Lonchura striata: one gene and its partners. The protein of the gene in region 1 binds, or shares a complex with, the protein of each later gene. Links are inferred from orthologs where the notes say so. Each region holds a gene or a part of one and is shown in the gene's direction. Other genes may lie near its edges.

The links.
Region 2: ARMC7 (region 1) and uncharacterized protein LOC110483994 share a complex: the UniProt entries of both Homo sapiens proteins name them as parts of the minor spliceosome. The link is inferred for Lonchura striata from reciprocal best matches to the Homo sapiens genes ARMC7 and SRRM2.
Region 3: ARMC7 (region 1) and CWC15 share a complex: the UniProt entries of both Homo sapiens proteins name them as parts of the minor spliceosome. The link is inferred for Lonchura striata from reciprocal best matches to the Homo sapiens genes ARMC7 and CWC15.
Region 4: ARMC7 (region 1) and SF3B5 share a complex: the UniProt entries of both Homo sapiens proteins name them as parts of the minor spliceosome. The link is inferred for Lonchura striata from reciprocal best matches to the Homo sapiens genes ARMC7 and SF3B5.

What each region holds. Positions count from the first base shown.
Region 1 is NC_134621.1:5,394,334-5,402,393, reverse strand, and holds ARMC7 (armadillo repeat-containing protein 7), read left to right. Parts: upstream 1-4,516; 5' UTR 4,517-4,664; coding exon 4,665-4,731; intron 4,732-4,805; coding exon 4,806-4,949; intron 4,950-5,784; coding exon 5,785-6,122; 3' UTR 6,123-6,814; downstream 6,815-8,060. Other genes in the region: NT5C (5'(3')-deoxyribonucleotidase, cytosolic type), read right to left, coding at 7,340-7,482, 7,564-7,680. UniProt on the Homo sapiens protein: As a component of the minor spliceosome, involved in the splicing of U12-type introns in pre-mRNAs.
Region 2 is NC_134637.1:299,261-308,275, forward strand, and holds the start of uncharacterized protein LOC110483994, read left to right. Parts: upstream 1-5,567; 5' UTR 5,568-5,571; coding exon 5,572-5,819; intron 5,820-8,257; coding exon 8,258-8,353; intron 8,354-9,015. UniProt on the Homo sapiens protein: Required for pre-mRNA splicing as component of the spliceosome. As a component of the minor spliceosome, involved in the splicing of U12-type introns in pre-mRNAs.
Region 3 is NC_134604.1:39,648,831-39,657,245, reverse strand, and holds the start of CWC15 (spliceosome-associated protein CWC15 homolog), read left to right. Parts: upstream 1-4,890; 5' UTR 4,891-5,015; intron 5,016-6,886; 5' UTR 6,887-6,894; coding exon 6,895-7,025; intron 7,026-8,415. UniProt on the Homo sapiens protein: Involved in pre-mRNA splicing as component of the spliceosome. Component of the PRP19-CDC5L complex that forms an integral part of the spliceosome and is required for activating pre-mRNA splicing.
Region 4 is NC_134605.1:50,067,698-50,073,851, forward strand, and holds SF3B5 (splicing factor 3B subunit 5), read left to right. Parts: upstream 1-4,603; 5' UTR 4,604-4,681; coding exon 4,682-4,942; 3' UTR 4,943-5,089; downstream 5,090-6,154. UniProt on the Homo sapiens protein: Component of the 17S U2 SnRNP complex of the spliceosome, a large ribonucleoprotein complex that removes introns from transcribed pre-mRNAs.

The sequences.
Region 1 (8,060 bases):
CTTCAGCATCAACTGGAACCAATTTGTGGCAGGGAGGGTAATATCAGACCTATGAATAAGGATATGCATCCTTTTATAGGGCAAAATACAAAGCAACTGTAGCTCCTCTTTGTGGAGATCAGTTCAGCTCTTTAGTCTTAGACTTTTGAACCTAATTACACCAGCATTCCCATTATAGAGAACTTTGCACAAACATAACTTATATTTCATAGAAGCAGAACTTACAAAGAAATCTGTGGGGGAAGCATAGTGGAAAAAGCCAGTGTTGCTGACTTTCTATCCATACAGCCTTGAGTGTAAGTGGCTTTCTCTGCCACATTCCCAGGATTTAGGCTTGTCTCTGCTCAGACAATGGCTGCAGCAGCCTCAGCATCAGCTCAAGATGCAAACTGTTCATATTCTGTGTCATCCCTGATCCAACAGACACAGATAACAGCTCATGAAGCACACGGATAAAGATAACCCAACACATCAGAACAATCAAAAAGATGGAAGCACAAAATGGGAGTGAAATGGAAGAAGTAACAGCCTTCAATGGAACTGCAGTGCCTGTCTAAGAACTGTTATAACTCAGCTGCAGTGCTTATCTGGAGAACTGTCCTAACACGTTCCTAGTGACAAACCCACAGCTTTCATTAGAGCTCCCCAGAAAAAACAAACAAACCAATTAAAAAAAAAACACTTTGCATGAAACCATTCAAAAACTGACTCCACGTTCTTCAGAGACTACAATGGCTTAACAGGTGGCTTTTACACAAAACGGGAGTCAGCCCTTCAGACAGGCTCCTGCTCCTACAGCTCAATACTGTCTTGGGATTACAGACCCAGGAGGATTTGCATTTCCTGAACAAACCTATACTTAAATAAGATGGTTAGGGGGAGACATACATATCTGATCTCTCATCACATGTGTTTATTAACTTATGTAATGCTTACACGATCCATAACTATGAAGTAAAGAGGGACTGGTGCTTCTCAGCTTACCAAAAGAGACTTCTATACATTCCTAAGAAAATGAAGAGGCTTTCTCACAAAAAAGCAATAAAAAGGGATTAAATCCCTAATTTCTTCTAGCTATTGCAAATAAACAGCTAAGCAGCTGAACAGGTTGCCATTTTCTCTGTAATTCTTAAATTTTAAATTCTGTTCACCTTTCTACACTCCCTTTCTGTTTTCTTACAGAAATATGAGGTTATGTGGCCCCAGATCCTCTCATTGCTACAAATGTCCTGGACAAAATAGGCAAGATATGGTGTAAGCTACAATCCACCAAAATTTCTGACAGGAAACAAAGGTTAGGTGAAGGAGCAATGGAAGGCACCTCCTGCATAGAGCCAGCTGATCCACCTGTAATGCTTTTGCCTTGGCTGCTTCATAAAAAAGGAAATGTACAGGGCAAAACCAAAAAATCTTCACCAACTGAAGCTGACACAGAGATCAGCTCCTCCTACACCAAGGCAAAGATACCTGTTTTGATAATTTCTTGATTGTGCAAGATAATTTAGGATGGATGACACTTTTCAGAAGTGTTTTTTGATACTCCCAGACTTATCTCTGGGGTCACTGGGACTTATTCGCAGGTGCAGAGAGAGGTTTCTGGGAAGAAAAACAACAAATTCACAAACCTGTTATTTTAACATTTCTTAAGTTGCTGACTGAAACCTTTCTAATAGAACTTAAGCCTGAAAACAGGTTTGTCTCCCCTGGTTACTTTCCACAGAGCCTTTAAAAGTAATCCACAACCCACAGGTTTGAAGCAAATCCTCAGCAGTCAAGAAGTATTACATTTTATGCTGTGTTTCCACAGGTGAATATGATGTCTTAGTTCCCATAACAGAGAAAACAACTCCTCTCCTTTCCATGGGTCTCCTCTCCCATGTGTGTTTCCCACCTGGACTCCAAGCTGCCTTGAGCAGGAGCTTGGCAAAGGATACCAAGAGAGACCTGAGCATGCTACAGAATAATAAATATTCCCCCTCAGAGGGATCCTACAGGTGCAGCAACACTCAGGAATCTTGGGGACCAGAAGGAAAAGAAAGTGATAAAAATTCCCCTCATTTGTTTAAGGTCAGCCTTTTACACAAGGCAACAGCAGCCTCACCGAAGCAGTTCCTTTAACACCTGCAGACAGTAAAACAACCCTGGGACAAACACTAATAACTCAGCTAGGTTACAAATCTCTGAGAAATAACAGAGCCACAAAAATTGAGCCATGTCCTCTCTTGCCCCTCCCCTGCCCCCTTTATCATTGAAGATATTCTCACTATTGCAAGATAAACATTTTGGCTAGAAGCACATTTCATCACTGAAATGAAACACACTGGGGACATTCACACTAACATATTGCAAGATCATGATCCTTAAAAGCCTAAGATTCTTTGTCAGGGTAATACTTGAGAAAGTTTAATATTAATTATATACATTTAATAGCAATAACCCCCAAATAAAGGTTACGGCAATCTTACACACTCTAAGACGCCTCTGAAGTGCAAAATCACTTCATTTAAGAGCTTGTCTTGCTGCTTGCAGACATATCTAGTAGATATAAGAAAAGAAACAACTACTAGAAATCTAAATTTCCTGAATTCTGGCTTCGGTGTGCTATGGAAGTCACCAGAATAGCCCCTGGAGCTGTGACTACCCTGGCTAGATCAGCCCCTGCTCTGGGAACTGCTCTGGCAAACAGCCATTGCTTGGAGCACTCAGACCATTAAACTGTACCGCCAATATCGGGTGGGTTAAATGCAGTTCTTACCAACAGAAGTAATTGCATTTTTCCTTTTTAAACACAGTTCCCCCCCCCCCTCCATTATTAGTCAATCCCAGCAGCGCTCTGTTTGCATGGACTAGCTCCCTGTGTTTGCTTTCTCTGCTCCTGCTTTCCCACATTTCTCATTCACCTTCTGTTTAATGATAGATGAGGATTTAAAGTACAGCAGCACTTACCACTTATAAAGGCACACATTAGAGGAGATTTCTTACTACATTAGCAAAACATTCTAATATAGACACAGTTCGTACCACCTTGCTGATAATTTTCAGATATATTCAAATATGCAGATAAAAATACATGTATATATTTAAACATATACATAAATACACACTGACTTCAGTTGATAATCATGTGAAGAGCTAAAGTTGTTAGCATTTAGCCTGGCTTAAACTTTTATACCACATAGAAATAAATGTTTTGTGTTTCATGTTTTGTATCTTCCTACACCATTACAATGTTAAAATATTTAGCATTACTGCATTCAGTGAAGCTTCTTTGCTCATCCTTCTATTTATTGTAGTAATGGGCAGATATTTCAGTGCCCTCAGCTGTGTGGGTTATCAGCCCACCACCCTTGTCACTGGTGCCATGTGGATCAGTCCATGACTAATTAGCTTGATATAAAAATCAATTGTATTTGAGATAACATAAAAAATAAAATTCTCACGGCCTGTTCCTTGCCTTATCCACAGAACAGCCATGCATGTAATTGCTTCAATAAAAGCAGTACAAATTTCTGCAGAGTCCACTCCTACAGTTTATGATCTTTATTAACCTTTACCTTGTATATTTACACAACATGAACCATAATTGAACCCTCTTGCAGCAGGTAAAATTGTGGTGGTTTCACCGAGCTGTGTTACTTCAAAACAAGGGACTCACTTTGCTCTGTGCCTAAACCACTGTACAACCAAGCTAGAATCACCTGCTGCTCTTTAATTCACTCCCTGGCTTTGTTTCATTTTTTTTTCACAGATAATTTCCCTCACTGTGCACATATTGTGTCCCGTTTTTACTTTTTATCCCTCAGCTTCATGAATGACAATCCCGTTATTTAAACTGGAACTGATCCAGGAGCAACACTACCCCAAGGACAACAGCATTAGGATGGAATAGCACAAGCACAGAGGTGAAAATTCTTTGAGTAAGAAATCAGTGGGGAAAGGTTACCTGCTTTGCAAAACCACACGTTTAAACAGCAACGCTCTGCCATATAATGAGACAGTCAAATACCTCGACATAGGCTAATTTGTTTTTATAGAACGTATATAATTATATATAATGTATTTAGAGAGAGAGCCAGCTGCGGAACAGCCACATCTCCCCCTGGGGCGCGGGCCTCCCCCCGCCCACAAAATGGCGGCCGCCTGAGGCGCGCTGGCACCTCCCTGTCCCGCCCACAAAATGGCGGCTACCTGAGGGGCGCTGGCACCGCCCTGTCCCACCCACAAAATGGCGGCCGCCTGAGGTGCGCTGGCACCTCCCTGTCCCGCCCACAAAATGGCGGCCGCCTGAGGCGCGCTGGCACCTCCCTGTCCCGCCCACAAAATGGCGACCGCTGAGGGGCGCTGGCACCGCCCTGTCCCGCCCACAAAATGGCGGCAACCTGAGGGGCGCTGGCACCTCCCTGTCCCGCCCACAAAATGGCGGCAACCTGAGGGGCGCTGGCACCTCCCTGTCCCGCCCACAAAATGGCGGCTACCTGAGGGGCGCTGGCACCGCCTTGTCCCGCCCACAAAATGGCGGCAACCTGAGGGGAGCTGGCACCGCCGTGTCCCGCCCACAAAATGGCGGCGGGCGGGCTGCTCCCGCCGCGCTGAGGCGGGCGTGTCGTCTCCATTCCTCGGAGCACCCAGTCCGGTGCAACGGGCAGCCCGTGCGGTGTGCCCCGATGGAACTGGGTCGGCTGGAGTACCTGCAGGCGCTCGTCACCGAGTTCCAGGTGACGGACAGCACAGGTAACAAACGCCGCTGCTCGCTCGCCCCCTCCGCGCCGACCGCTTCCTCACGCACCGACCCTTTTCCCCTGCAGAGGCCAAGGAGCAGGTGCTGGCGAACCTGGCCAACTTCGCCTACGACCCCAGCAACTACGAGTATCTCCGGCAGCTCCAGGTGCTGGACCTGTTCCTCGATATGCTTACGGAGGACAACGAGAGCCTCGTGGAGTTTGCCATGGGTAAGCGCTGCCCCAGCACCCTAGGTCTGGTCCTTAACCTGCCCCAGAGTCACCCAGGGCTCCAAAAACAAACCCACACTGTGCTGATAAAGCCTCGTTTAGTGCACAATGGGAGAGAAGTCAGAGGCAGGTGTGTCTTCCATGTCCTTGCAGAGCTTAATGAAGACACTATCTGGAAAAGATTTTGTTGTTTCGTGGTTTTTTTTCCTAAACACTACCTGATTAACTTTGTACTGAAATCTGTCCTGTAGAGAAGCAGTTGTTAATACATATATTTTGCCAGGTACACTGTACAGATCCATGTAACCATTCTGATATTGGCAACTGGTCTTCTAGAATACTTACTTGACAATTTTAATAAATCTTTTGAGGAACTACCTTACCACGATTTTTCATTGTCTGAACATAAGCTAAAAGGCCAGATGCTGTGAGTGGTTCTGTGAGATGATACTAAATGGATTTGATTTTTAAGGTTTGTGTCTGCATCTCAAAAGTTTCAAGTTTCAAACATTCTGTGTTTCTTGACTGCTAACTCTGTTACCTCCATTCTCTGGCTTTCTATAGCACCTGCAATAAAACTGCTGGCTTGTGTCTTCCCTTAGGGATGAGTGAGCGTTCCTGGAATCATTGTGTGGGAGCAGTTATGTGCAGCAGTAACAGTGCCCTCTAATGACAGGCAGCCGGAGCGTGCTGGTGGAAAATCGCTGGAAACAATCAAAAACGCACAGCCTAGGGAATCGTTAAGAATTTTCCATCCATCCAGAAGATCTGGATGATAGAAATAGGATGAGCTGTGAATTGCGTCACCTCGGACACTTTCCTCTTGCCGTTCCAGGTGGCCTTTGCAACCTGTGCTTGGATAAAACAAACAAAGAGTACATCCTGGAGGCCAACGGGGTGGAGCCCATCATCAACTGCCTGTCCAGCTCCAACGAGGAGACCGTGGTGTCAGCCGTGACCACGCTGATGTTCCTGACGACACCGCGGTCGCGCGCGCAGACCACGGCGCTGCCCGTGGTGGAATGCATGCTCCGCTTCTCGCTCTCGGCCAACACGCGCCTCAGTAACCTGGCATCCATCTTCCTGCAGGATTACTGCAGCCCTCCACAGGTGGAGGAGGCCAGGAACCTCAGCAAGCACACGGCAGTGGGCATTCCTCTGCCCAAGGACTGAGCAGGGCTGTGGAGAGGGGAACCTCCTGTTGTTCTCCCTTTCTGCTCAGCAGGTCAAGAGCAGCATTAAAGAGAGGAGTTGGTGCCACCAGTGCTGGTGTTTAGTTAACAAACAGGATGGAACAGCACTAACACAGCAGCTGGGCCAAGCGTTCAGCTAAGCCTGCAAATATTTAAAATAAAGCAGGTCATAGCTGCACATTGGAAAGTGCTTTGCCAACTGCAGCTCAGCACACGGTTTGCACAAATAACACTTCCCAGTAAAGAGGGGTGTTCTGCTCAGGTTATTGAGCAGAATTATATCCACTCCGGTTCCTGGCTGGTTGTGCTACACCTCTCCCCTTAAGTGTCTGTGACAAGTGACGCTAAGTGTCAAGTCACTGAAATGTCACAGAAAGGTATTCTTCCTTCAGAGAAAGGAGTTTCCCTGCCCCGTTCACAATCTCTCCATCCCTGTGGCACTAGTTATGCCATCCTCTAATTGTGGCACAGGCAGCCAGCTAGGGAATCATTACATAGGGTAGGCAGGCTGTAGCTGCCCTATAAATGAAGAAGTGCTAAGTTTGTCTTTATTACCACTGATGAGAAAGGTGAAGTAAAAAAAAAACGGGCTCATGACAGCCTGGCTCATGAGAACAGCTCTCTTGTAAAAGCTTCTGTTAATAAAACATTAACTTAAATGCTGTGTAATCATTTCTGTGTGAGCTAATGAATATTTTTCTCCAGCACTTGCAGCCTTTGCCTGCTCTTACTCAAGCACAAGGGCCAAAAAATCGAAGCCAGCCTAGTCTCTTTTCATTATCAGCCATGAGGCAAGAGGAAACCCCATAACCAGGGTGGCTAAATACATAAAATTTAAAAGGTTTGAGCTCAGTGCTTCCTGACAGACACCCACACTGGATCTGCTTACATTTGAGAGCCTTCTTCCTCTTCTCTCCCCTCTGGCCCCAGACAGCACAAACCAAACAGGAATGAGGTTAAACACACACAAAAATCCAACCACAGCTGCTTGTAGTTTATAGTTTCTCTTCTCCAACAGCAAACATCCAAAACACTAAGGAGATGAACGGTGCAGAGCAATCTTCCAGAAACACAGAGCACTGTCTGACAGGAGCAGCTCGTTTCTGTGGCTGATCCCTGCAGTGACAGAGCCTCCTGGGCATGGCAGGGGCTGGGCTGGTTGTTTCCTGGCAGTGGGAAGAGCATCCCCTTCCCGGCCTACTGCCTGCACTTGCTTTCTAGGATGGCCTTCCAGTCGTCGGCCCAGGAGCGCAGGCGCCGGCGCCAGACCGGCAGCTGGACGTGCCTGTTGTGGCAGCAGGTGAACAGGATGTGCTCCCAGCTCGGGTTTGGCTCCGCGCCTGTGGGAAGGGGGGAAAAGCTGGAATCAGCCGTGGGGTGGCTCCCCAGCCAGCAGCCAGCCATGGAAATGCTGTTCAAACCTTGGATGGTGTCCTTGTCATCAAACAGCAGGTCAGCAGCCACCACGGTCTTATCTCGGGTCAGAATAATCCGCTCCACAAACTCCGGTCCCAAGTGTTTCTCTACCCTGCAGAGAACTGTAGAGACAAGGAATAGGAGAAAATCCTGCTGTGCTCTCCGTTTGCACATCGCTCCTGTCAGACCAGCCCTAGTAGTGCAATTTCTTTCCTCTATAAACCTTCATGGCTGTCTAGGAATCCCCACATGGAGACTGGTGCGGCCCAGGATGCTGATAAAACCTGTTTGTGTGACAACCTTCACTCAGCACTGCCCTGGCTGTGGCTCAGCTGTTGAGTGTGAGAAGCACTTTCTGCTTGCCCAGAGCACGTGGGTTGTACCCATCTAAGTAATTTCAGTGATCAAAGTCCTCCACTTCCATTCTTGTACCACAGGCAAAAAGGATTTATTCCAACTCTACAGCCTCCTCAACACAACTCTTTTGGGACACCTCAGGCTC
Region 2 (9,015 bases), on another chromosome or scaffold:
GATACACGGCCCCCCTCGCTCAGCGACTACAGCTCCCGTCACGCACCGCGCGCCGGCCGAGGCAGAAAATGGCGGCGCGCCGCGGCGCACGCCGGGAATCGTAGTCCGCCCCGCCCCGCCGCCAACGGAAGAGGCGGGGCTAAAGGACTACCAGCCCCGTCGCCCCCCGCGGCCGCGCATGCGCCCGGGGCGGAAGTCGGAGGCGGGGGCCGCGCGCGTGGCGTCGCCTCAGCGTCTGTTCGGGAGGCCGCGCGGGGCTCGCGGGTCCTGTCGCGACAGAGCGGAGCTGTCGGCGATAGGGAGCAGGTGAGGGCCGGGGGGTGGGGGGGTGAGGGAGGGGAGGGGGGGAGGGGAGGGGGAGGGGCGAGGCCCGCGCGCGGCCTTGGCGGGAGCGGGGGGGGGGGGGGGGCGGCGTGAGGGGAGAAAAAAAGCGGAAATGTGAGGGGAAAAGTGGGGAAAATCGGGGAAAATGGGAAATTTGGGGGGAAATTCTGAGGTGAGGGGGAAAAATGGGATTTGGGGTGAAAAAGGGAAAATTTGGGGGGGAATGGGGGAAATTTGGGGAAAATGGGGAAATTTGAGGTAAAAAATTGGGAAATTTGGGGGAAAATGGGGAAATTTGAGGTAAAAAATGGGAATTTGGGGGAAATTGGGAAATTCTGAGGTGAGGGAGAAAAAATGGGAATTGGGATGAAAAATGGGAATTTGGGGGAAAATGGGGAAATTTGAGGTAAAAATGGGGAATTTAGGGGGAAATGGGGAAATTCTGAGGTGAGGGAGAAAAATGGGATTTTGGGTAAAAATATGAAATTTTGAGGCAGGGGAGGTAAAAATGGGATTTTGGGTAAAAACAGGGAAATTTTGAGGTGAGTGACTAAAACTGGGATTTTGGGTAAAAAATGAGGAAGTTTTGGGTGAAAAATTGGGAAATTCTGGGTGAGGGAGGAAAAAATGGGAATTTGGGGTGAAAAAGGGGGAAATTTGAGGTAAAAAATGGGGAAATTTGAGGTAAAAATGGGGAAATTTAGGGGGAAAATGGGGAAATTTGAGGTAAAAATGGGGAAATTTAGGGGGAAAATGGGGAAATTCTGAGGTGGGGGAGGGAAAAAATGGGAATTTGGGTAAAAAGTGGGAAATTTGAGGCAGGGGAGGTAAAAATGGGATTTTGGGTAGAAAATAGGGAAATTTTGAGGTGAGTGACTTAAACTGGGGATTTTGGGTAAAAAATGAGGAAGTTTTGGGTGAAAAATTGGGAAATTTTGGGTGAGGGAGGAAAAAATGGGAATTTGGGGTGAAAAATGGGGAATTTAAGGGGAAAATGGGGAAATCTAGGGGAGAAATGGAAATGGAATTTGGGGTGAAAAAGGGGGAAAATTTGGGGTGAAAATGGGGAAATTTTGAGGCAAGGGAGGAAAAATGGGAATTTGGGTAAAAAGTGGGAAATTTTGAGGCAAGGGAGGTAAAAATGGGATTTTGGGTAAAAAATATGAAATTTTGAGGCAAGGGAGGTAAAAATGGGAATTTGGGTAAAAAATGAGGAAGTTTTGGGTGAAAAATTGGGAAGTTTTGGGGTGAGGGAGGAAAAAATGGGAATTTGGGGAAAATAAAACAAATTTTGGGCAAAGGGGGAGCTCGGGATGGGGAAATGGGGTTTGGGGGAAAAGTGGAGATTTGGGAGAAAAAAGGGATTAAAAACAATTAAAAATGAGTCGTGAGGGGAAAGCGAAAGTTTAAAAAGGGAAGTGTGAGGGGAAAAAGAAAAGTTTTGGTGAAAAAGGTTTGGGTGAAAAAGGGGAGGTTTTGGTTAAAAAGAAAGTCTTGGGGGAAATTGGGATTTTTTGAGGGGGAAAAAGGCGGAAAATGGGATTTTAGAGGGGGAAAAAATGGGATTTTGGGTGAAAAAAGGGGAAATTTGGGGTGAGGGAAGGAAAATGGGATATTGGATAAAAAAGGGGAAAAATTTGGGGTGAAGGAGGAAAAAATGGGATTTTGGGTGAAAAATGGGGAAAATTTGAGGTGAGGGAGGAAAAATTGGGATTTTTTAGGTAAAAATGGGGAAATTCAGGGTGAAAAATAGGGGAAATTTTGGGTTTGGGGTATAAAAAATGGGATTTTGGGCAAAAAGGGAAAAAAATTGAGGTGAGGGAAGAAAAAATGGAATTTTGGGGGTGAAAAGAGATTTTTTAAGGTCATGAGGGGAAAAAACGGGATTTGGGGTTAAAAATAAGATTTTAGGGGTTCGTGAGGGGAAGGTTGGATTTCGGGGAGTTTTGAGGGGGAAAAGGGAATTTTTGAGGGGAAAATGTTGATTTTTGGGGGATTTTTGAAGGGAAAATGGTGGTTTTTGGGAGGTTTGTGAGGGGAAAAGCGGAATTTGGGGGAAAAAAATGGGATTTTGAGGGGAAAATTGGGATTTTGGGGTAAAAAATGAGGGTTTGAGGAGGGAAAAGCGGATTCGAGCGGAAAGAAGGCGATTTTGGATGAAAAAAAGGATTTTTTGGTAAGTGTGGGGAAATTTGGGGTAAAATAGAGGGGAAAATGGGAATTTTGGGGTATTTCTGCAGGAAAATGGGAATATGAGAAAAAAATGAATTTTTGGTGGAAAATGGATTTTTTTTTTTTGAGGTGTGGGGTTTTGGGGAGTTTTTGAGGATAAAACTGATTTTTTTAGGAGTTTCAGGGTTTGTGAGGGGAAAAATTGGAGTTTTTTGGGGGAAAGTGTTTTTAGTGGGAAAAAACCGATTTTTAAAAAGTTTTTGAGGGGAAAAATGAAGTTTGAGGGAGTTTAGGGTTTTTAGGAGAGCTGAGGAGTAAAAGTTGAAATTTTTTGGGGTTTTAAAGTAAAAATTGGAGTTTGGAGGATTCTGAGGGGACAAATTGTCGTTTTGGGGGAAAAACAGAATTTTGGGGTGTTGGGAGGGGAAAAATGGAGATTTTTAAAGTTTGTGAAGTAAAATTTAATCAGAATTCATTTTATGAGGTGAAACTTTAAAATTTAATTTAAATTTATGAGGTAAAAAAGCGATTTTGAGGAAGAAAAGTGAGATTTCGGGGGAAATTGGGGAATTTTGAGGAGAAGAATGAAGATTTTGGAGTTGTGAGGGAGGAAAAGGATTTGGGGGAAAGACAAAGGTAAAAAAGTGGATTTTTGTGGAGATTTGAGGGGAAAAAAGTAATGTTTAGGGGAATTGTGAGGGAAAAAGTGAATTTTGAGAAAATTCTGAGGCGAAAATTAAGTTTTTTCGGGGTGTTTTGTAAAAAAGTAATTTTATTGGAATTTTGAGGGGAAAAGTGAATTTTGGCGGAGAGTTGTGAGGAGAAAATGGATTTTTTTTGGTGTTTTGTTAAAAAAAAGAGGAATTTTAGGGGAATTCTGAGGAGTTTGGGGAGTGGAAGTGGTCGTAAGTAGGAAAAATTTAATTTTTGTGGGGGGAAAAAACGTTTTTGTGGAAATTGTGAGGGGAAATTTGGGGTTTGGGGCAGTTCTGAGGGGATTTTGGGGAGAAAAAACCATTTTTTAGGGAAGTTGTGAGGGAGAAAAGTGGGATTTTGAGAGAAAAATGGAGTTTTTTTAAAAGTGTGAGGGGGGGAAAAATGAAATTTGAAGGAGCCTTGAGAGGAAAGGGTCAAAAATTCTCATTTTAGGGAAAAAGTTATTTATTTTAGGGCGCTGTGAGGAGAAAAAAGGATTTTGAGTGAAAAAAAAGTTGTTTTGGGAAGGAAAAGTGGATTTTGAGCGGAAAAAAAAAGTGATTTTGGGGGGAAATGGATTATTGGAGTTGGAAAAAAAGTGATTTTGGGAAGGAAAATGAGATTTTAGGGAATTTCCAGAGAAGTTTAGGGAGTTTGTGAAGGAAAATGGGGATTTTGGGTTTAAAATGGGAATTCATGTAGGAAAACAGAATTTTGGGGAGAAAAATAGGATTTTGGGTTTAAAAGTGAGAATTCATGCGGGAAAATGGCAATTTCGGGGAGAAAAGTGGGGATATTGGGTTAAAAATGGGAATTCATGTAGGGAAATGGGAATTTTGGGAGAAAAATTGGATTTTGGATTAAAAGTGGGAATCTTGTAGGAAAATGGGGATTTTGGGAAGAAAAATGGGAATTTTGGGTTAAAAAGTGAGAATTCCTGTAGGAAAATGGGAATTTTGAGGAGAAGATGGGGACTTTTGGGTTAAAAAGTGGGAATTCCTGTAGTAAAATGGGGATTTTGGGGAGAAAAGTGGGGATTTTGGGTTATAAAAGGGTTTTTTTAGGGTGGGAGGGAAGTTTTGGGGTCAGTGAGGGGGGATTTGGGGCAGGGGGAATTTGGGGAATTTGGGGGATTTGGGACTGTAGGAATGGGGGATTTGGGGAATTTGGGGATGCAGGAATGGGGGATTTGGGGCTGTAGGATTTGGGGATTTTGGGGATGTAGGATTTGGGGGATTCAGGGGATTTTGGGGATGTAGGATTTGGGGGATTTTGGAGATTTGGGGTTTTAGGAACTTGGGGATTTTGGGGGTTTGGGACAAAGGGATTTTGGGAATTTGGGTCTATAGGAACGGGGATTTTGGGGATTTGGGTCTATAGGAACGGGGGGATTTTGGGGGTTTGGGGCACAGGGATTTTGGGGATTTGGGGCACAGGGATTTTTGGGATTTGGGTCTATAGGAACTTGGGGATTTTGGGGGTTTGGGACACAGGGATTTTTGGGATTTGGGTCTATAGGAACTTGGGGATTTTGGGATTTGGGACACAGGGATTTTGGGGATTTGGGTCTATAGGAACTGGGGGATTTTGGGGATTTGAGGCACAGGGATTTGGGGGATTTGGGGCACAGGGATTTTGGGGATTTGGGGCACAGGGATTTTTGGGATTTGGGTCTATAGGAACGGGGGGATTTGGGGCACAGGGATTTTGGGGATTTGGGGCACAGGGATTTTTGGGATTTGGGTCTATAGGAACGGGGGGATTTGGGGCACAGGGATTTTGGGGATTTGAGGCACAGGGATTTTGGGGATTTGGGTCTATAGGAACTTGGGGATTTTGGGCACAGGGATTTTGGGGATTTTGGACACAGGGATTTTGGGGATTTGGGTCTATAGGAACTGGGGGATTTTGGGGATTTGAGGCACAGGGATTTGGGGATTTGGGGCACAGGGATTTTGGGGATTTGGGGCACAGGGATTTGGGGGATTTGGGTCTGTAGGAACTTGGGGATTTGGGGGATTTGGGTCTATAAGAACGGGGGGATTTTGGGGATTTTGGACACAGGGATTTTGGGGATTTGGGGCACAGGGATTTTGGGGATTTTGAACACAGGGATTTTGGGGATTTTGAACACAGGAATTTTGGGGATTTTGAACACAGGGTTTGGGGGATCTGGGGGATGTGGGGGGCCCTGACTCCCGCGTTCCCAGCGCTGGGATGTACAATGGGATCGGGCTGTAGGAACGGGGGGATTTTGGGGATTTGGGGCACAGGGATTTTGGGGATTTTGGACACAGGGATTTTGGGGATTTTGGACACAGGGATTTGGGGGATCTGGGGGATGTGGGGGGCCCTGACTCCCGCGTTCCCAGCGCTGGGATGTACAATGGGATCGGGCTGCCGACGCCGCGGGGCAGCGGCACCAACGGCTACGTCCAGCGCAACCTCTCGGCCCTGCGGCCCAAGAAAGGGGGGGCGGGCGGGGACCCCCCCCCCGGCGAGGAGGAGCTGAGGCGCCTGGAGGCCGCCCTGGCCAAGAAACCCAACGCCGACATCCTCGACCACCAGCGCAAGCGGAGGGTGGAGCTGAAATGCCTGGAGCTGGCCGAGCTGATGGAGGAGCAGGGGTGAGCGCCGCGCGCCCCAAAAACACGCCCTGAAATTTCCCAAAATCCCCCGAAATTTCCCCAAAATCCCCCCAGACCCCCTCGGGACCCCTCCCCAAATTCGGGGGTCCCCCCTGGCACCCCAAAATCCCTTTTAATACCCCCAAACCCCCCCAAAATCCCCCTAAAATCTCCTTTAAACCCCCCAAATTCCCCCCGAAATTTCCCAAAATTTCCCGAAATTTCCCCAAAATCCCCCCAGACCCCCTCGGGACCCCTCCCCAAATTTGGGTCCCCCCCTGACACCCCAAATCCCCCCTAAATTCCCCCAAAATCCCTTTTAATCCCCCAAACCCCCCAAAATCCCCCTAAAATCTCCTTTAAACCCCCCAAAATCCCCCGAAAATTTCCCAAAATCCTCCAAAATTTCCCCAAAATCCCCCCAGACCCCCTCGGGACCCCTCCCCAAATTCGGGGGTCCCCCCTGGCACCCCAAAATCCCTTTTAATACCCCCAAACACCCCAAAATCCCCTAAAATCTCCTTTAAACCCCCCAAAATCCCCCTGAAATTTCCCAAAATCCCCCGAAATTTCCCCAAATCCCCCGAAATTTCCCCAAATCCCCCCAGACCCCCTCGGGACCCCTCCCCAAATTCGGGGTCCCCCCCTGACACCCCAAATCCCCCTTTAAACCCCTCAAAATCCCTTTTAATACCCCCAAACCCCCCCAAAATCTCCTTTAAATGCCCCAAAATCCCCCCAAAATTTCCCAAAATCCCCCAAAATTTCCCCAGACCCCCTCGGGACCCCTCCCCAAATTCGGGGGTCCCCCCTGGCACCCCAAAATCCCTTTTAATACCCCCAAACCCCCCCAAAATCCCCTAAAATCTCCTTTAAACCCCCCAAAATCCCCCCAAAATTTCCCGAAATCCCCCAAAATTTCCCTAAACCCCCCAAAATTTCCCCAAATCCCCCCAGACCCCCTCGGGACCCCTCCCCAAATTCGGGGTCCCCCCCGGACACCCCAAATCCCCCTTTAAACCCCTCAAAATCCCTTTTAATGCCCCCAAACCCCCCTAAAATCTCCTTTAAACCCCCCAAAATTTCCCGAAATCCCCCAAAATTTCCCAAAATCCTCCAAAATTTCCCCAAATCCCCCCAGACCCCCTCGGGACCCCTCCCCAAATTTGGGTCCCCCCCTGACACCCCAAATCCCCCCTAAATTCCCCCAAAATCCCTTTTAATCCCCCAAACCCCCCAAAATCCCCCTAAAATCTCCTTTAAACCCCCAAAATCCCCCAAAAATTTCCCAAAATCCTCCAAAATTTCCCCAAAATCCCCCCAGACCCCCTCGGGACCCCTCCCCAAATTCGGGGTCCCCCCTGGCACCCCAAATCCTCCTTTAAACCCCAAAATCCCTTTTAATACCCCAAAATCCCCCTAAAATCTCCTTTAAACCCCCCAAAATCCCCCCAAAATTTCCCGAAATCCCCCAAAATTTCCCAAAATCCTCCAAAATTTCCCCAAATCCCCCCAGACCCTCTCAGGACCCCTCCCCAAATTCGGGGTCCCCCCTGACACCCCAAATCCCCCCTAAATTCCCCCAAAATCCCTTTTAATACCCCAGAATCCCCCTAGAATCTCCTTTAACCCCCGAAATTTCCCAAAATCCCCCGAAATTTCCCCAAAATCCCCCCAGACCCCCTCAGGACCCCTCCCCAAATTCGGGGGTCCCCCTGGCACCCCAAAATCCCTTTTAATACCCCCAAACCCCCCCAAAATCCCCCTAAAATCTCCTTTAAACCCCCAAAATTTCCCAAAATCCCCCCAAAATTTCCCAAAATCCTCCGAAATTTCCCCAAATCCCCCCAGACCCCCTCAGGACCCCTCCCCAAATTCGGGGGTCCCCCCTGACACCCCAAAATCCCTTTTAATACCCCCAAACCCCCCCAAAATCCCCCTAAAATCTCCTTTAAACCCCCCAAAATCCCCCCAAAATTTCCCAAAATCCTCTAAAATTTCCCCAAAATCCCCCCAGACCCCCTCGGGACCCCTCCCCAAATTCGGGGGTCCCCCCTGGCACCCCAAATCCCCCCTAAATTCCCCCAAAATCCCTTTTAATCCCCCAAACCCCCCAAAATCCCCCTAAAATCTCCTTTAAACCCCCCAAAATCCCCCCAAAATTTCCCGAAATCCCCCGAAATTTCCCCAGACCCCCTCGGGACCCCTCCCCAAATTCGGGGGTCCCCCCTGGCACCCCAAATCTCCCTTTAAACCCCCCAAAATCCCTTTCAATACCCCCAACCCCCCCTAAAATCTCCTTTAAACCCCCCAAAATCCCCCTGAAATTTCCCGAAATCCCCCCAAAATTTCCCGAAATCCCCCGAAATTTCCCCAAATCCCCCCAGACCCCCTCGGGACCCCTCCCCAAATTCGGGTCCCCCTTTTCCCCGTTGCAGCTACTCGGCCGAGGAGATCGAGGCCAAGGTGGCCACGTTCCGCACGATGCTGCTGGAGAAGGACGAGGGGCCCGGCGACCCCGAGCAGAAACCCACGTGAGCCCCCTCATTTGCATAATTAGCATAATTAGCTGCATGGCGCCTCGTTAACCGCCGTCCCCGAGGGGGTTTTGGGGGAAAAAAATGGAATTTTGGGGGGAAAAAAGGAGTTTTTTGGGGTGGTTTGAGTGGGAATTGGGGATTTTGGGGTCGTTAGTGGCAAGATAAGTTTGTTAATTAGGTTCATTAGCATAATTAGCGTAATTATATCTCATTAATCAGCTCCCCAGAGAGGTTTGTGGGGGGAAAAGGGAATTTTGGGGAGGAAAAAAGGAGATTTTTTGGGGTGGTTTGAGTGGGAATTGGGGATTTTGGGGTCGTTAGTAGCAAGATAAGTTTGTTAATTAGGTTCATTAGCATAATTAGCGTAATTATACCTTGTTAATCAGCTCCCCAGAGAGGTTTGTGGGGGGAAAAGGGAATTTTGGGGGGAAAAAAGGAGATTTTTTGGGGTGGTTTGAGTGGGAATTGGGGATTTTTCAATTACTACCAAAATAAGTTCGTTAATTAGCTTAATTAGCCTAATTGTCTTAATTATCTCTTCTTAATCAGCTCCCCAGAGAGGTTTTTGGGGGAAAAAAGTGAATTTTGGGAGGGAAAAAAAAAGGACGTTTTTGGTGGGATTTGTGTGGAAATTGGAGATTTTTCAGTCATTAATA
Region 3 (8,415 bases), on another chromosome or scaffold:
CACCCGTGACTGGAGTACTGAAGGCTCAAAAATCCCAGCAGCCCAAGGAGTGGAATGGAATGGAGCGAAGAAGCAGAAAGTTGGAGAGATGGTGCAGTGGGAGGTGTCAGGGCAGAGGTCACGGGCTGGAATGACTTTGTGAGCATAGAGAAGCAGCAGTAAATGGCCTTTACGGTCCCATGGCAGGCAGCAGGGAAGGTGTGGCGAAGAGCAGAAGAACACAAGACGGCCTCCTCGGAAAGCAGCCCCTGCTGACTCACCGGCTGAGTCACAGCTTTGCCCAGCTTCTATTCTTTTTCCAATCAAGGAAACAGCAACTTCCCACGAACTTCTTTTAAGGCTGGTTTGGATGCTGAGCATTCCTGCACCAAGTTTCCACTCTTGACAATCCTCTGTGGCCTTCTGTATCTGTTTCCCAGCAGGAGGCACAATCCTTCAAAGCACACGGTGTCCTGAGGGAGGAAATGGTGCTGTAGTGCTGTGGCCACTCCAAAGCAGAAACAGGATTTACAATTTACTGCTGATCAGCCATGCAAGCTGTGCCTCAGATGGCCAAAATCGGTTTCGCACAAGAAAGGGGAGGCAAGGGGGAAATTCAAGCTGGGAGAGTTCCATACTGGCACTGAACCTCTGCCCTGCTGGGGAAAATGCTCACCTTCAGAGCACTGCTTTGAAAGAGGAGATTGCACATCGTCCTGCTGTACTTCAAGGGTGGGAAGAAGACAGCCTGCAGTGGGAGACATGAAAACTTAGGAATTACAATTGCTTCAACTAAATGCCTTTCTGGATTCAGAAAAAAACCAGTGAAAATCAGTAAGTAAGAGTAATGCTAGAGATGGAAGAAAGGGGACCCAAAATCCAAAGAATATACATTGTAAGATTTCAAGAATAGAAAAATTACACAGGAAACAGGAAAAAAATCCCTACACTGGCAAGGCTAAAAGGGAGTTTTTAAAGTCCATTAGGAATATAAACAATCTTCATAACACTACAAGCTAAGAAGTAGACTACAAAAACATTAACAAGGTTCCAAACAGGCACAGGGTTTTTAGAAATGTTTTTGTTCTTTTTCAGGACACTATGTCTTTTGCAGTCTTGCCATGATTTCAAAGGATCGCTTTGGTGAGACCAACATCCTAAAGCACTGGGATAACCAAATAATGTTCGTCTCCTGGTGTGATCCACAAGCAAATTGTATTGAGAATGTGTACAGGTACCATAAAGGATTTGGGACACTAAGAGGCTTTGCCAGTGACACCAGCAAAGGATTTACTTTTAAGACAAATGCCCGTAACACAAGCAAGTATGTTTATTTGTTGCAGCTCAAAGACTACATGGAATTTTCTAATCCATAAAATGACAACTCTAAGGATTCAAGAGTCATCATGGACATGTACCTGGGTTCAAGCCCCCAGTGTAGTGGTGTGTGTAAAAAGGCCAGTGTGATCCTCAGATAAACAACCACACAGAAAGCTGTGGCAGGAAAGTGATTATATCTCTCTAGTTCACATTGATGGAGCTGATGCTGAAACAATTTTTATATTTTTATTGTTGATAGATTGAATAGAGAGCAAGAAAAGCCCTCAAATAACTGGTGTTAGAAGATTAGAAGAGTCCAAGCAGCAGCAAGACTAGATTATAAAGGATAAATACCCAGTGAGAACACAGGCTTTTAAAATTACCACAGAAAGGCACAAAAGGCACCTGTGGTTGGAAACAAAGACAACTTAAATTAAAAATAAGGTGCAGTTTTAAATTGTGAGAATAATTAATCACTGGAGGAAATGATCAAGGGAAGTGGTGACTTCTGCTTTTCATGTTTTCCATGCAGCACACAATACCTTTCTAAGTGTTGCCACAGCCAAATTGCTCAGCAATGACTGGAGCAGCCATGGGAAGGGGGAAGATCTGGGGGTTTGTTACTGTCTACTTGTTTACACTCTCTGTAGACATTTCAATGCAGAATCATAGGAACATAGGAATTCACACCTGCCACCTTTACACTGAACTTGAGTGGTATCCCCGTCTACATCCCTGCACTTCGGTAGATCTATAATCCTTTCCCTTATGCTTGGCTAGTCAAAAACACAAGGAGAATGTCCATAAATGTCAAAGCATGCCTGGTGTGGGGCAATAATTCTCCATGTGTGGGGTGAGTCCTTGGGAAAGAGCCCTGTGATATGACCCAGAGGAACTGAGAAGCTGATGGTGATATTGATGAGTGCAGGCATGCTCTGAGAATATTTACTGGATGAAGGATCTCTGAGTACTTGAGCTGGGAAGTAAACCAGCTATTATTGTTAGGCCCTGGAGACAATATGGTGCTAAACTTCTTACTCCTAAACTAAATCCAAACAAGTTCAAGATTGGGAAAAGCTCTGTATGATTTGAGATCTTTACACCCAAAAGTTGTGGACTTGTGAAGGTTAAGTGCTTCTGCAATGAAATTGAGTTTGTATTTTTAGGAGTCTGAGCTCAGGCATTTCCACTTCACCAATATCCTTCTTTAGTGCTCAAGTCTTCTAAGGAAACCAAGCTCTTCACCATAAAACACATCTTCATTGGTACACACAATCTGGGGGAAAGGAAGCTCCCTGGGGAAGAGTTTTGGCCAAAGACACAAAGCCATTCCTTCACTATTTGAAGAATCTTCCAATCTGCTCAGAGCAGGGATTGTGTTAGTTTTTAACAGGCAATGGAATACTCTCCTTTTCCTCTAACCCAAGAGCAGGAGAGGTCCCTTCAGTTCTGGAGGTCTTTAATCAAGACTTGATACCTTCTGCCAGATGGAAATTACAACTGAACAGCAGGCACTGCCTTCAGGACATGTCACTGAGCAAAACACAACATTCTGCTGCACCAGGACAGTCAAATTACCATAACAGTCAGTGCTTCTTGATTTAAAGTCCACAGATTTGTAATCTAGGAGTAACACCCAGCATCGCAGAATGATGCACTTAGTTCAGGCTGCTGTGGTCTGCAGCCCAACAACACCAATTCCCTGAAGCCAGACTTCTCTGCAAGGTTTGATCTTAAGTCTAAACTGTCTGTGGTGGAAGAAATCATAAACCCATTTCAAAGGGTGACAATGGACACTTGCAGATGAGAAAACGCAATGCTGGATACTTGGTTATTGACAGGTGTAGCTCTTAGGATGTGACATAGTAATTACTGTCACTATTTGTTCAACTTCAGAGTGAAGCTCAACTTGCTTGAAATGTTTGGTTTCTTTCTAAAGGCCCAGTTCTCCCCAGCGCTTTCCCTGACGGCTCGCTGATGCAAGGTGCCTTTGCTGCTCGGCTCCGCGTTCGGCAATGCCTGCGGGACCTCTGCGGGCTCGCTCCTGAGCTGCGTGCGGGGTGTCAGCACTCGGGAAAGCGTGGCTGCGCTCATCCGCAGCTGCAGCAGAGAGCCCTTCACTTCACCTTCCAGAGCCTTGGCAATAACGTGCGTCTAAAAGGAGCAACAAACACAAGGAAGGAGCTGCACTTTAAGAGGGGGAATTTAATTCCTTAGTGATCGTCGTTTGTGCTTCGGCTTTTTTACACTGATTATAGAATCACAGAACGCTTTGGGCTGGACGGGACCTTAAAGAGTATCTAGTTCTAATAGCCACCGCCGCCGCCGAGGCCGCCGCCATCGCCGCCGCGCGTTTCCGCACCGGCACCGCCATGGCGGGCCCGCCCGCAACCCTCTCTATGGTCACAGCCCCTCTCTCTCCATGGCCAGCCCCTCTCTATGGCCACCGCCCCTCTCTATGGCCAGCCCCTCTCTCTCTATGGCCAGCCCCTCTCTCTCCATGGCCAGCCCCTCTCTACGGTCACAGCCCCTCTCTATGGCCAGCCCCTCTCTCTCTATGGCCAGCCCCTCTCTATGGCCAGCCCCTCTCTCTCTATGGCCAGCCCCTCTCTCTCCATGGCCAGCCCCTCTCTACGGTCACAGCCCCTCTCTATGGCCAGCCCCTCTCTCTCTATGGCCACCGCCCCTCTCTATGGTCACAGCCCCTCTCTACGGCCAGCCCCTCTCTCTCTATGGCCACCGCCCCTCTCTATGGTCACAGCCCCTCTCTACGGCCAGCCCCTCTCTCCATGGCCAGCCCCTCTCTCTCCGTGGCCAGCCCCTCTCCATGGCCAGCCCCTCTCTCCGTGGCCAGCCCCTCTCTCTCCATGGCCAGCCCCTCTCTCTCCGTGGCCAGCCCCTCTCCATGGCCAGCCCCTCTCTCCGTGGCCAGCCCCTCTCTCTCTATGGCCAGCCTCTCTCTCCCTGTGGCCAGCCCCTCTCTCTCCGTGGCCAGCCCCTCTCTCTCCCTGTGGCCAGCCCCTCTCTCTCCATGGCCAGCCCCTCTCTCTCTACGGCCAGCCCCTCTCTCTCTACGGCCAGCCCCTCTCTCTCCATGGCCAGCCCCTCTCTCTCTAGGGCCAGCCCCTCTCTCTCTACGGCCAGCCCCTCACTCTCCATGGCCAGCCCCTCTCTACGGCCAGCCCCTCTCTCTCCATGGCCAGCCCCTCTTTCTCCATGGCCAGCCCCTCTTTCTCCGTGGCCAGCCCCTCTCTCTCCGTGGCCAGCCCCTCTCTCTCTGGTCACAGCCCCTTTCTCTCTACGGCCAGCCCCTCTCTCTCCATGGCCAGGCCCTCACTGTGGCCAGCCCCTCCCTCTCTACGGCCAGCCCCTCTCTCTCCGTGGCCAGCCCCTCTCTCTCCATGGCCAGCCCCTCCCTCTCCATGGCCAGCCCCTCTTTCTCCATGGCCAGCCCCTCTCTCTCCGTGGCCAGCCCCTCTCTCCGTGGCCAGCCCCTCTCTCTCCGTGGCCAGCCCCTCTCTCTCCATGGCCAGCCCCTCTCCATGGCCAGCCCCTCTCTCTCTATGGCCAGCCCCTCTCTCCATGGCCGGCCCCTCTCTCCATGGCCGGCCCCTCTCTGGCGCCGTGCCTGGGCGCGCCGCGGGGCACTGTGGGTGCCTGGCGGGATGATGGCGGCGGTGTAGGGCCGGGCCGCGCGGGGCGGAGGAGGCCGCGCTGTGAGTGCCCGGGGCAGCGCAGGGAGGCTCGGGAGGGCTCTGAAGGCGGGGAGGCGGCCCTGGGGCAGGGGGTGTCGGGGGGAGGCGGCCCTGGGGCAGGGGGTGTCGGGGGGAGGCGGGCTCGGAGAGGGGCCGGGCTGCGGCCGGGGCTGGCGCTGTGATTTGGAGCCCCCAGTCAGGGCGCAGGCCGGCAAGGCCGAGGCGGTTCAGCTGCAGGCCGAGCTCGGTCACTCTCTCTTGGCCGATAGCTCCTCGTAGCGCTAAAGAGGCTTTTGCAAGTATTTCTGAAATCTGAGAGGCTAAAGGCTGAGTCTGGGCTTTGGAGGCCAGACTGCATACAGACCGATTCAGTCCTGCGAGGAGCTGCTGGAGCTGTTCAGCTCGCAGAAGAGGAGGCTCAGGGGAACCTTATCGCTTTCTAGAACTGCTTGAAAGGAGGTTGGAGCCACTTGGTTGGCCTCTTTTCCCAGGACAAGAGGAAGGGACCTGAAGTTGTGCCAGTGGGGCTCTAGGTTGGACATTAGGAAGAATTTCTTCACCGAAAGGGTGATTGGACATTGGAATGACCTGCCCAAGGAGATAGTGGAGCCATTATCCCTCGAGGTGTTTAAGGAAAGACTGAATTTTGGCACTTAGTGCCCTGGTCTAGTTGACAAGGCTGTTTTCAGTCACAGGTTGAACTCAGCTCAGAGGTCTTTTCCAAACTGATTAATTCTGTAACCTAAGAGAAGCAGGGATGCTTTCCAGACTATTGCAGCCACACCAGATCTTGTTCTTTGCCTGATTTCATGGATCCCTCGTGTTACGTATAATTAGCACAGGATAAGTTATAGGAATAAGTGACTTTCTTGGATCATGGGCCTCACAGAATGTCTGCCAACAGATCTAAAATGCTTCACTGAGCTTTAGCTGACTTGTACAGCATCACTGTGAAGTGGCAGCTGTCCTTGATTAACAAGCCAAGGCTAGTTACCATCTCGCTTCTTTTTAAAGATGTTTCCCTCTGTTAATTTTGTTTTTTGAGTAATAGTTCAGTGGCTGTAACTGTTCTGCCTGATGGAATGTTACTCTGAGCTACACATTCTCACTTTGGTGCTGAAGTTGGGTATTTTGTGCTTTCATTCAAAGTGACAAACTAACAACATAAACTTGGTTTGGGCTCTGCAGTCCCATCAGGCAGTGCTGAACACACTGTGTACTCCCAGGGCAGCTGAGGCTGCTTGCAACCTGCTTCACTCTTAGGCACAGAATGACAGTAGAGATTTGGGCATCTGCCAGTTTGGTTTTTAGGACATGCTGAGTTCCTGCAGTTTCTAGGGGAGAGCTGGTGACAGCTTCTCCCTTTTATCCAAGCTTTTTTCCTCGCACTTTGTTTATGTTGCCAGGTGTCCATCAGTGGGTATGATCAGCACCATCCTAGGCACACTGTGGCCTCGGTGAGCTGGCGTTTCTGGTGGTGGTACCTAGCAATGGTCTGGGCAATAGTGAAGGGCTCTTCCCAGTAGGCAGGTACTTTTGACTGCAGTTTTTCAGGTGAGGAAAGAGCTTAGTTACAAGACTGTACTGCTCGCTTTAAGGATGGAAGATCAGTTTCTGTCTGGCGTTATTTACTTTACAATTGTGGCTTCATATTTTAGTTAGACTCCATGTATCTTTTTCTAAGCATATTGGAAGAGACTCTGTTGTGAAACCTGAATAGAATCTGTCCATAAAATGCTGCTTAAATTTTGAGGATCATGTGCTGGGTGACAGCTGGTATACTGTAGTGGGACTTGTCACTGCTTCTTCAGTTCCAGGAGCAAAGTAGCTCCTAATAAGTGCCTTACACTGTGAATTGTAGTAACAGCTTGTTTTATCCCTTGATTCTGTAGGAGTGAAAATGACGACAGCAGCAAGGCCAACGTTTGAACCTGCAAGAGGAGGAAGAGGAAAAGGTGAAGGAGACTTAAGCCAGCTATCCAAACAATATTCTAGCAGAGATCTTCCTTCTCATACAAAAATCAAATACAGGTTAGTATCATTTTTTGAGTGTCAGGCAAAACAGGCTGGGAATGACTGTTTTGTTTTGAGTGGTACTCTAAAATTTCCTCAAAACATGTTGATGTGCTTGACACTGAGCAAGGTCCACAGATTGTGCAGGAGTGCTGAACAAGTGGGCTGAAAGTCTCAAAAGCAGAGCTACGAGCTCAAATGCATTGTAGGTGATTTGGGGAGGTTTAATTTTAGTGATAATTTGTTGCTGTTTATGTTCACTCATTATCAGAAGGTGAATTTCTTGGGCAGTGAGTTGGAAAGTGAGTTGGCATTGTGGCTGAGCCACAAGGAGTACTGTCACTTGCAGAGCACATTGGAGTAAGAGAGGTGAAGTTGAGCACATCTTAAAAGCAGGAAAACCACATTATGTATTTGGCAAAGGACCACTGTGTAAGGGCATTGAGAGGAGGCAGGGGAGCCATGGAATAGCACTCAGGTAATGGGATGTGCTGGAAGAGCTGATGTTAAGCTGCAAGTGGTTTATGCAGGTCCTGGGAGAAGAAATTTCTTTAACCAAAGAGCAAGATAATGTGATCTTTGGAATATTTTCCTATGTTTGAAATGAATAATAAATTTTTAGCTTTTTGAAAGAGTAAATAAAACTTGGAGTCAGTATGATAGAATTTAAATTAAATGTGTCAGTCTAAAAATGCTCATTTTATCTAACTGGTATTACTCTTCTCAGTGGAATTACTGTCAAGGTTTTACTTTTGCACTCTTTTGTGTAGATATTTACCCTGTCACCTGTTCCCTCCTGTCCCTTTGGTTTTTAAGAATATATATTCATAAGGTAGCTGAGTGTTTTGGAGAGTACCAAAACAAAGAACATGGAAAGTTTTGTCAAATGTGTTTTGCTGGTATGAGGAAAATTCCTGGTGGATTGTTTTTAAAACATGTGGGGTTTGGAACACCAGTCTATTGCTTTGGAAGAAGTCTGCGAGGATAGGTATGTATGGGAATATACAATGAATGCTTTAAATCCATCCTTTTGTGTGAGAGGGAGCATCAATTGTCTTCTGTTCTTCCTCCCAAATACCTAACAAAATGTTGTCTTTGTTAAATTGCCAGGACTGCATCACTGCAGGACAACTCCAGTGTTTCAATCCTACTCATGTTTGTTTGCATGGCACAGGCTTTGGGGAGATTTTGCAGCTCTAACAATGATTCCAAATTCAGTTTTTTAATTACAAAAGCAAATTAAATGCTTCATCATAAAGACAGGCTGTGCAAACAATGTGTTTATAATGGCTCACGTCTGGGTTTCTTCCAGGCACTCTTACTTCCAGCACTGAGTTGACAGAGAGGTGAAAGCAATTGCTGCTTGTTTTATTCACTAGTTCTTTTCAAGACATCCACAAAAATTTCA
Region 4 (6,154 bases), on another chromosome or scaffold:
ATTTAAATTCACCTGGCAGACTATTACTGGCGCTGTTTTTAGCCTGAATAGGTAACTAATCACATCACTGGACAGGCTTTTATTTTCTATGTTATAGCTTTGGAATAAAGAACTTCCCCTAAGCAGAAAGTGAGAGCTGCCTCTACCAGGCCTCTGCTGTGCTCCATCTCCCTCCACACCACATTCATCAGATCACCACATTATTTCAGTGTCTCATCTGTAAGCACTGTGCTAGTGATCCCTACTGCCTTTCTGCTTTTAGGGTGCTCCTGTGCCTGGCTAGGAAGTTCTCAGTGGCACCTAAATTAAGCTAATTCAATTGTCCTGTGCACCTAAGGCACACAGCTGTTATTCAGCCCCATACAGGAGGTGTAGAGCATCACAGTGGTACTCAGAAGGAACTGATGGAGTGTGAAGCTCCAAGGCCCAGTCTCTGTGATCCTTAAGCTGCTCCTAGGTAAGACACTGTTAGTGCAGGTCATAGATCTCCTCAGTATGACAATTCTTCAGGAGTGAATTTCTCCAGATTCAGTCTGATTCAAGATAATGTGATTATCTTTACATTAATACAGAGCAGCATAAAGTGTATCCCTTAGTGGTAGGACACACAGTATTTCTTCTTTCCTGATTTTTTTTACTCCACATTCTTCCAATCTATAGCTTTGGCAGAGAATCAGCCATACAACCCTAAAACAGCTTTGAGATTTTGGAATATTTATACTCTATAAATGAAAGCAAGAACAAAGCAAAACATAGTTTTAAAGTGAAAGAAAGTTTGAAACTTAACCATGCTTGCAAGGACTGTGTTTCCTCTGTCCCAGAAGCAGCCCAAAGGCTGCTATGAGATGGCAGCAAAATCATGATTCTGACTACAAGGAAAAGAAAGAAATCAGGGGAGTTTACATCAAACAAGGTGGAAGAAGAGGCTTGATTGTGAAAAATGTTTTTCACAGGATCTTTGAGAAAAGCAGCAAAATTGTCTTCCACCTCTTAAAGGGCCAAAATAAGGGCTTTCTGAGGCTGATAATGTTCATAGGCTATAATAACATTTGAGAAACTATATCACAGTTCATGTGATAGAATCAGAAATCTGAAAAAAAAACCCCAAATATGCAATTAGAAAAACATAGCTTTTCCAGCCTAAAACTGCTAAGTGGCCTCTGCAAATAATGATCTAAGAACCCTGTTTTAGCAGAAGCAAATATTTTTAATGAAATATATACTTTTAAAAAATCACATGCCACATACACAATGGGTTCTTATCATTATTGAAATTCCAGCACCATTCTTTCTAGGCTAATGCAATCTCAATTTTTTTTTCATCACTGTATTTGTAGGATAAATCAATATAGTGAAGAATAGAGGAATTTCTGGGAGAAAAAAAAAGGCATACCTCCCCATTTTATCATCTTTCTGGATGTGTATTGGTTTTATCTATTAGGATCGTCACATCCCCTTGTTTGCAGGGTATTTATGTCTCCACACTTCCACCCAAAGAGTCCGTAGGGAATTCAAAAATTTGGTTGTATCTTGTACTGGGCAGCCACTGACAATGTCTTTCTTGGTCCAGCAGCCCCCTCTACCCTTTTTACTCTACATTTCGGAGGTGCAACCAATCACTCCGTTTTATGGAAGAAGAATTTTGACAAGTCCAACTCTGACACCCAGTGGCCTCTACTGTTCCAGCTCTTACAGCCTCCCAGGGTCTCAATCTATTGAAACCTGGCTTGAAGGGATACGGTGTTACTCTCCAAACAGATAATTTCAGCACTAAAATCAGCACATTTATGTGATTTCCATAAGTAAGCATCCATTATTGTATATTCTGATAATGATATTTAATGGTATTCAGTACAAAACCCTCAACATATCTGAAAATGCTGCTTTTTCAGGAATCCTAGTCATACAAGCGTATTACCACTGAGGAATAATCCTCTCCCTATATATATGCATCTCCTTTCCCCCACTCATTTATATTCCTAAACTTGAAATGAAAGTGCCCTAGCATAGGCATTCATTTTGTACAAAATGGACCAAACAAGAAAAAGAAGGCCCTACAATAGATTTTATTTTTATAAAGAATAAGAAATGAAGAGAAAGAGAATATAATTGAATATAATTCTTGAAAGATAGCAGATGGAACTTTTTCTTTTTAGATTAAAATTGAAGTTAAGTAGTTACTTGTAGATAATTGTGGTTTGCCTGTCAGCTGGAAATTTTACTACCTGTTTTTTCTTCCTTAAATTGGTAAGCTCGTCTGGCAGTCTCAGAAGTTCTTGACCAAAGCCAATATAGAGTGAAGTTTTGGTGTGCTTTCCCAGAGTTCTGGATGCCTGAATGCAGCATTTTAATCTGGCCCAGTAACAAACTTGCTGAAAATTTCAGATTCACACTTCTCAGTCAAGTTTGGTGGTTTTTTTTGTTTTTTTTTTTTTTTGTGTTTTTTTTTTTTTTTTTTTTTTGTTTTTGGTTGGTTGGGTTTTTATTGTTGTTGTTTCATTGCTTTGGTTGGCTGGGGATTTGTTGTGGTTTATTTTGGTTTTGGTTTTCATTTGTTTTTGTTTTTCTTTCATGAGAACTATTACACCTGTTTAATTTAATGCAGTTATTACTCCTAGAAACTGCAACATCGACAAGAGATAGATAAGCTTCTGGGAATTTTTCTTCTCCAAAGGCTATTTTAATCAATACATCTCCTGGTTTATAGTTTCCAAGAGGATAACTTCCAAACAGCTGTGAGGGCAGCCCCGTGTGTCACTGTGTTGGCATGGAACATCTATTAAAAGCTAGCATTCTTCTTGCTATCCCACTTTTTAAAAAAACATCATTTAAAAAAGAAATGAAAGCTCTTCCTTGTTGAGAATATGTCCTTTTTTGTCTTTCTGCAAGCCAGCATACATAGAAACTCCTAAAGTGTTGTGTTTGTTTCTTTTTCCTCTCCTGGTCTCTCTGAAAGCAACCACAGAATGCAACTGCTATATCCAGCTGTGCAATCTGCTTCCAGCTAAGTAAGCCTTGGTAGCAATGACTCAACAGATCCTCATAAAAATAACAAAAAAAAAAAAATTATAGTCCTCACTTAGCTCTTTGCACAGAATTGTAAGGACACTTCAGAACGTTGTTTTTACATTGCCTTATATGGCCCTGGTTTTATAAGACACTCACTTTTAAACAAGGGGCATAGAATCATCTGTGTTTTCACATAATATTTCTGTGGATTTCTTTTTGACTACAGGGCATTTACAAGAACAGGAAGAAATAGCTCAGTCCTATTGAAAAATTTTTGGCAATGTGTCTTTCCTATTTTAAAACAAATAATTAAAAACATTACTAGCATATGAAAGCATGAATAATTTCACACATTTTAAACTTAACATTATGTAAACTCTCGAACAGAGGTGGAAAAAACTATTTTGATGGATGATAATATTTATTTCAAGCTTGAGTTTGACCAAAAGAAGATAGGCAACACAAGTTATATTTTCTGTGGGTTTTATATCTGCTTGTGAGTTTAACATTCAGATAAAATACTAGCCACACTGTAAAAAATATTTTTCAACATTAGTATTTAATTTTGACTTAAATCACCTGACTCTGCTCAGCCCATCTGGGGAAGATAAACTCAGCTCTTCAACTTACAAAGGAACAGGGATGGGACATACAGAACTTTCCTCAGCTGTATGTAGCAGAAGTAACCTCACCAAACTTCTTATTTTGGGAGGACCTGCAAATACTGTGCCCTCCTCAGCCCTTCTCTATGTGGACTTGGGTGAGAGTGACCATAGCAAGTGGTGCATTGCCCTCTCACCAAGCTAAGGGCTAACGAAAAGGGGTGTTGGGCTGCTCTTGGCACCTCCTGGGTTGTTTGGTGGTAGCTTTTTCTTTCTCCATGTCGCTTCTTTGGGAAGCAGCCCTGAGCCGCGGTTCATACAGAGGCAGCGTCGGGATGGGATGAAGCTGTGCCCCGAAGCGTGAGCCCCGGGCTCTGCTTTCCTGTTTCTGACACCTGCTGCCAGGAGAGACTTTTCGATGCTGTTCCCGTGTTCCACGACGTGGGTATTTCGTAGCCAGATTTGACAGTGCAGGTCCCTTGGATTCCAGGTGAATGGATCACTATCAAAGCCGTATCTTTGCTTTGCAAACTGACGGGAGGCTCCAGGCTTTGCATCGAGGCTCAGCTGAGCATCTGCCTCAGTCTGAGGCGCCTGAACCCTCACGTACGTGCTTTAGAATAACCCTGCGTTACAGATGGCGGCTCAGCCTTCTAACTACATTTGCCTTACTATGGATTAGCCAAGTGGCGCGATCCGACCGACAGTACGCTATTTTCACTACGACATCAATATTAACTTACGCCGAGGCCCGCCCCCCAGGAGACTACAGCTCCCGGCAGGCTCTTCCCGGCGCGCTCCCTTCGGGCACTGCGGCAGGAACCGCGGCGGGAAGCGCTGCCGCGCCCGCCGGAAAGCGTCCCGGCCCCCAGAGCAATCCCGCTGTACAGGCCCGTTCGTGCCGCCCAGACCCGGCCCCGCCGCCCAGGCCGGTCCCCGCCGCCCGCCATCCCGCCGCCCGCCGTCCCGCCGCCCGCCGTCCCGCGCTCCGCCGTCCCGCGCTCCGCCATCCCGCCGCCCGCCGTCCCGCGCTCCGCCGTCCCGCGCTCCGGCCGCCCGCCCGCCGCGCCATGACGGACCGCTACACCATCCACAGCCAGCTGGAGCACCTGCAGTCCAAGTACATCGGCACGGGGCACGCCGACACCACCAAGTGGGAGTGGCTGGTGAACCAGCACCGCGACTCGTACTGCTCCTACATGGGCCACTTCGACCTGCTCAACTACTTCGCCATCGCCGAGAACGAGAGCAAGGCGCGCGTCCGCTTCAACCTGATGGAGAAGATGCTGCAGCCCTGCGGGCCGCCCGCCGACAAGCCCGACGAGTCCTGACCCTCCGTCCTCCTGGTCCCGGCCCTCTCCCGTTGTGGTTCCCGAAGGACTGACCGGGAAGAAGCCTCGCAAAATGCCTGCCTCGGGACTCTTGACTGCTCGCCTTTTTTCAAGTGGAATATAATAAAGCTTCGTGGGCATTCCTAATGTTTGGTTTGGTAGTTTCCTTGTACGAGCTTTTTGTTCCCGCGGGAGCGCTGGTGCTCGGTATTGGGCATTTCAGCGCAACCATCCGAGGTGAAAGCATCGGATACTCCTAGACAGCATTTCTCCCACCGGGCGGATCGATGCTTCCTTACAAAACTCAGTTTTGGGGGGAGAGAGGGGAACTTTGTTGGTACTCAAAGGGTTTGATGTCTTGGTAGCAGTATTATATGGAGTGGTTTTTGGTGTAGCATAAGCCAGTTCCTCTAGTACTTAAAAATTCCAAAATGGCTTTTCTTTAAACAATTTTCTTGCCTCATTTTCCTTTTTCCTGTACCTCTGAATTTTTCAAACCTTGATTCTTTCTGATACACATTAGCTATTTTTTCCCTTTATGCTTTCTAGTAACCTAGCATTCAAGTTTTTCCTACCTTACATCAAATAAAGATACTAGTATTGGGTTGGGCTCTGTTAATATGGAATACGAATATAATGGTTACTCACTACTGCTTCAAAGTAAAATGCTCTGAGGTGACACAGGCTTGGATCACATTGCATGCTGAACAGATGCTGATTCTGATTTGTCACTTAAAATAGGCTTTCTATTCACTTACAGTAAAAATAAATTTTGGGTTCTCATAGATGGAAAGACCTCAGCCCCAAGTGAGATATGTTCTTGGAGAAATAACATATTCTCATTTCTGTCATGTTTTTTTGTATTAACATTGGAGGGGAAAGTCCAGCATTTTGTGGTCCTATTAAGGCACTATGCAAGCTTGTCAGTGATTATTTTCTGAAATCAGTGATCTCAAGTCAGTACATCCATCTTCTGAAGAATTCAGAGATAGCATTTTTCAGACTTTGTTGTGTGTAATAAGATGAGGACATCGGTGAAGTAGTCGGAAAACATTTTACCTTCAGGATTTTTGGGGAACTACTTCAGTTCACAATAAATGATCAGGGGTATATAGAAAACTGTTTTTCAATTTGCCTGCAAGCTAGTGCAGGTAATTTGAAGAACATCTGTTCCTCACATGCTGGGCAACATGGCTGAAAGTTTTCTGTAAG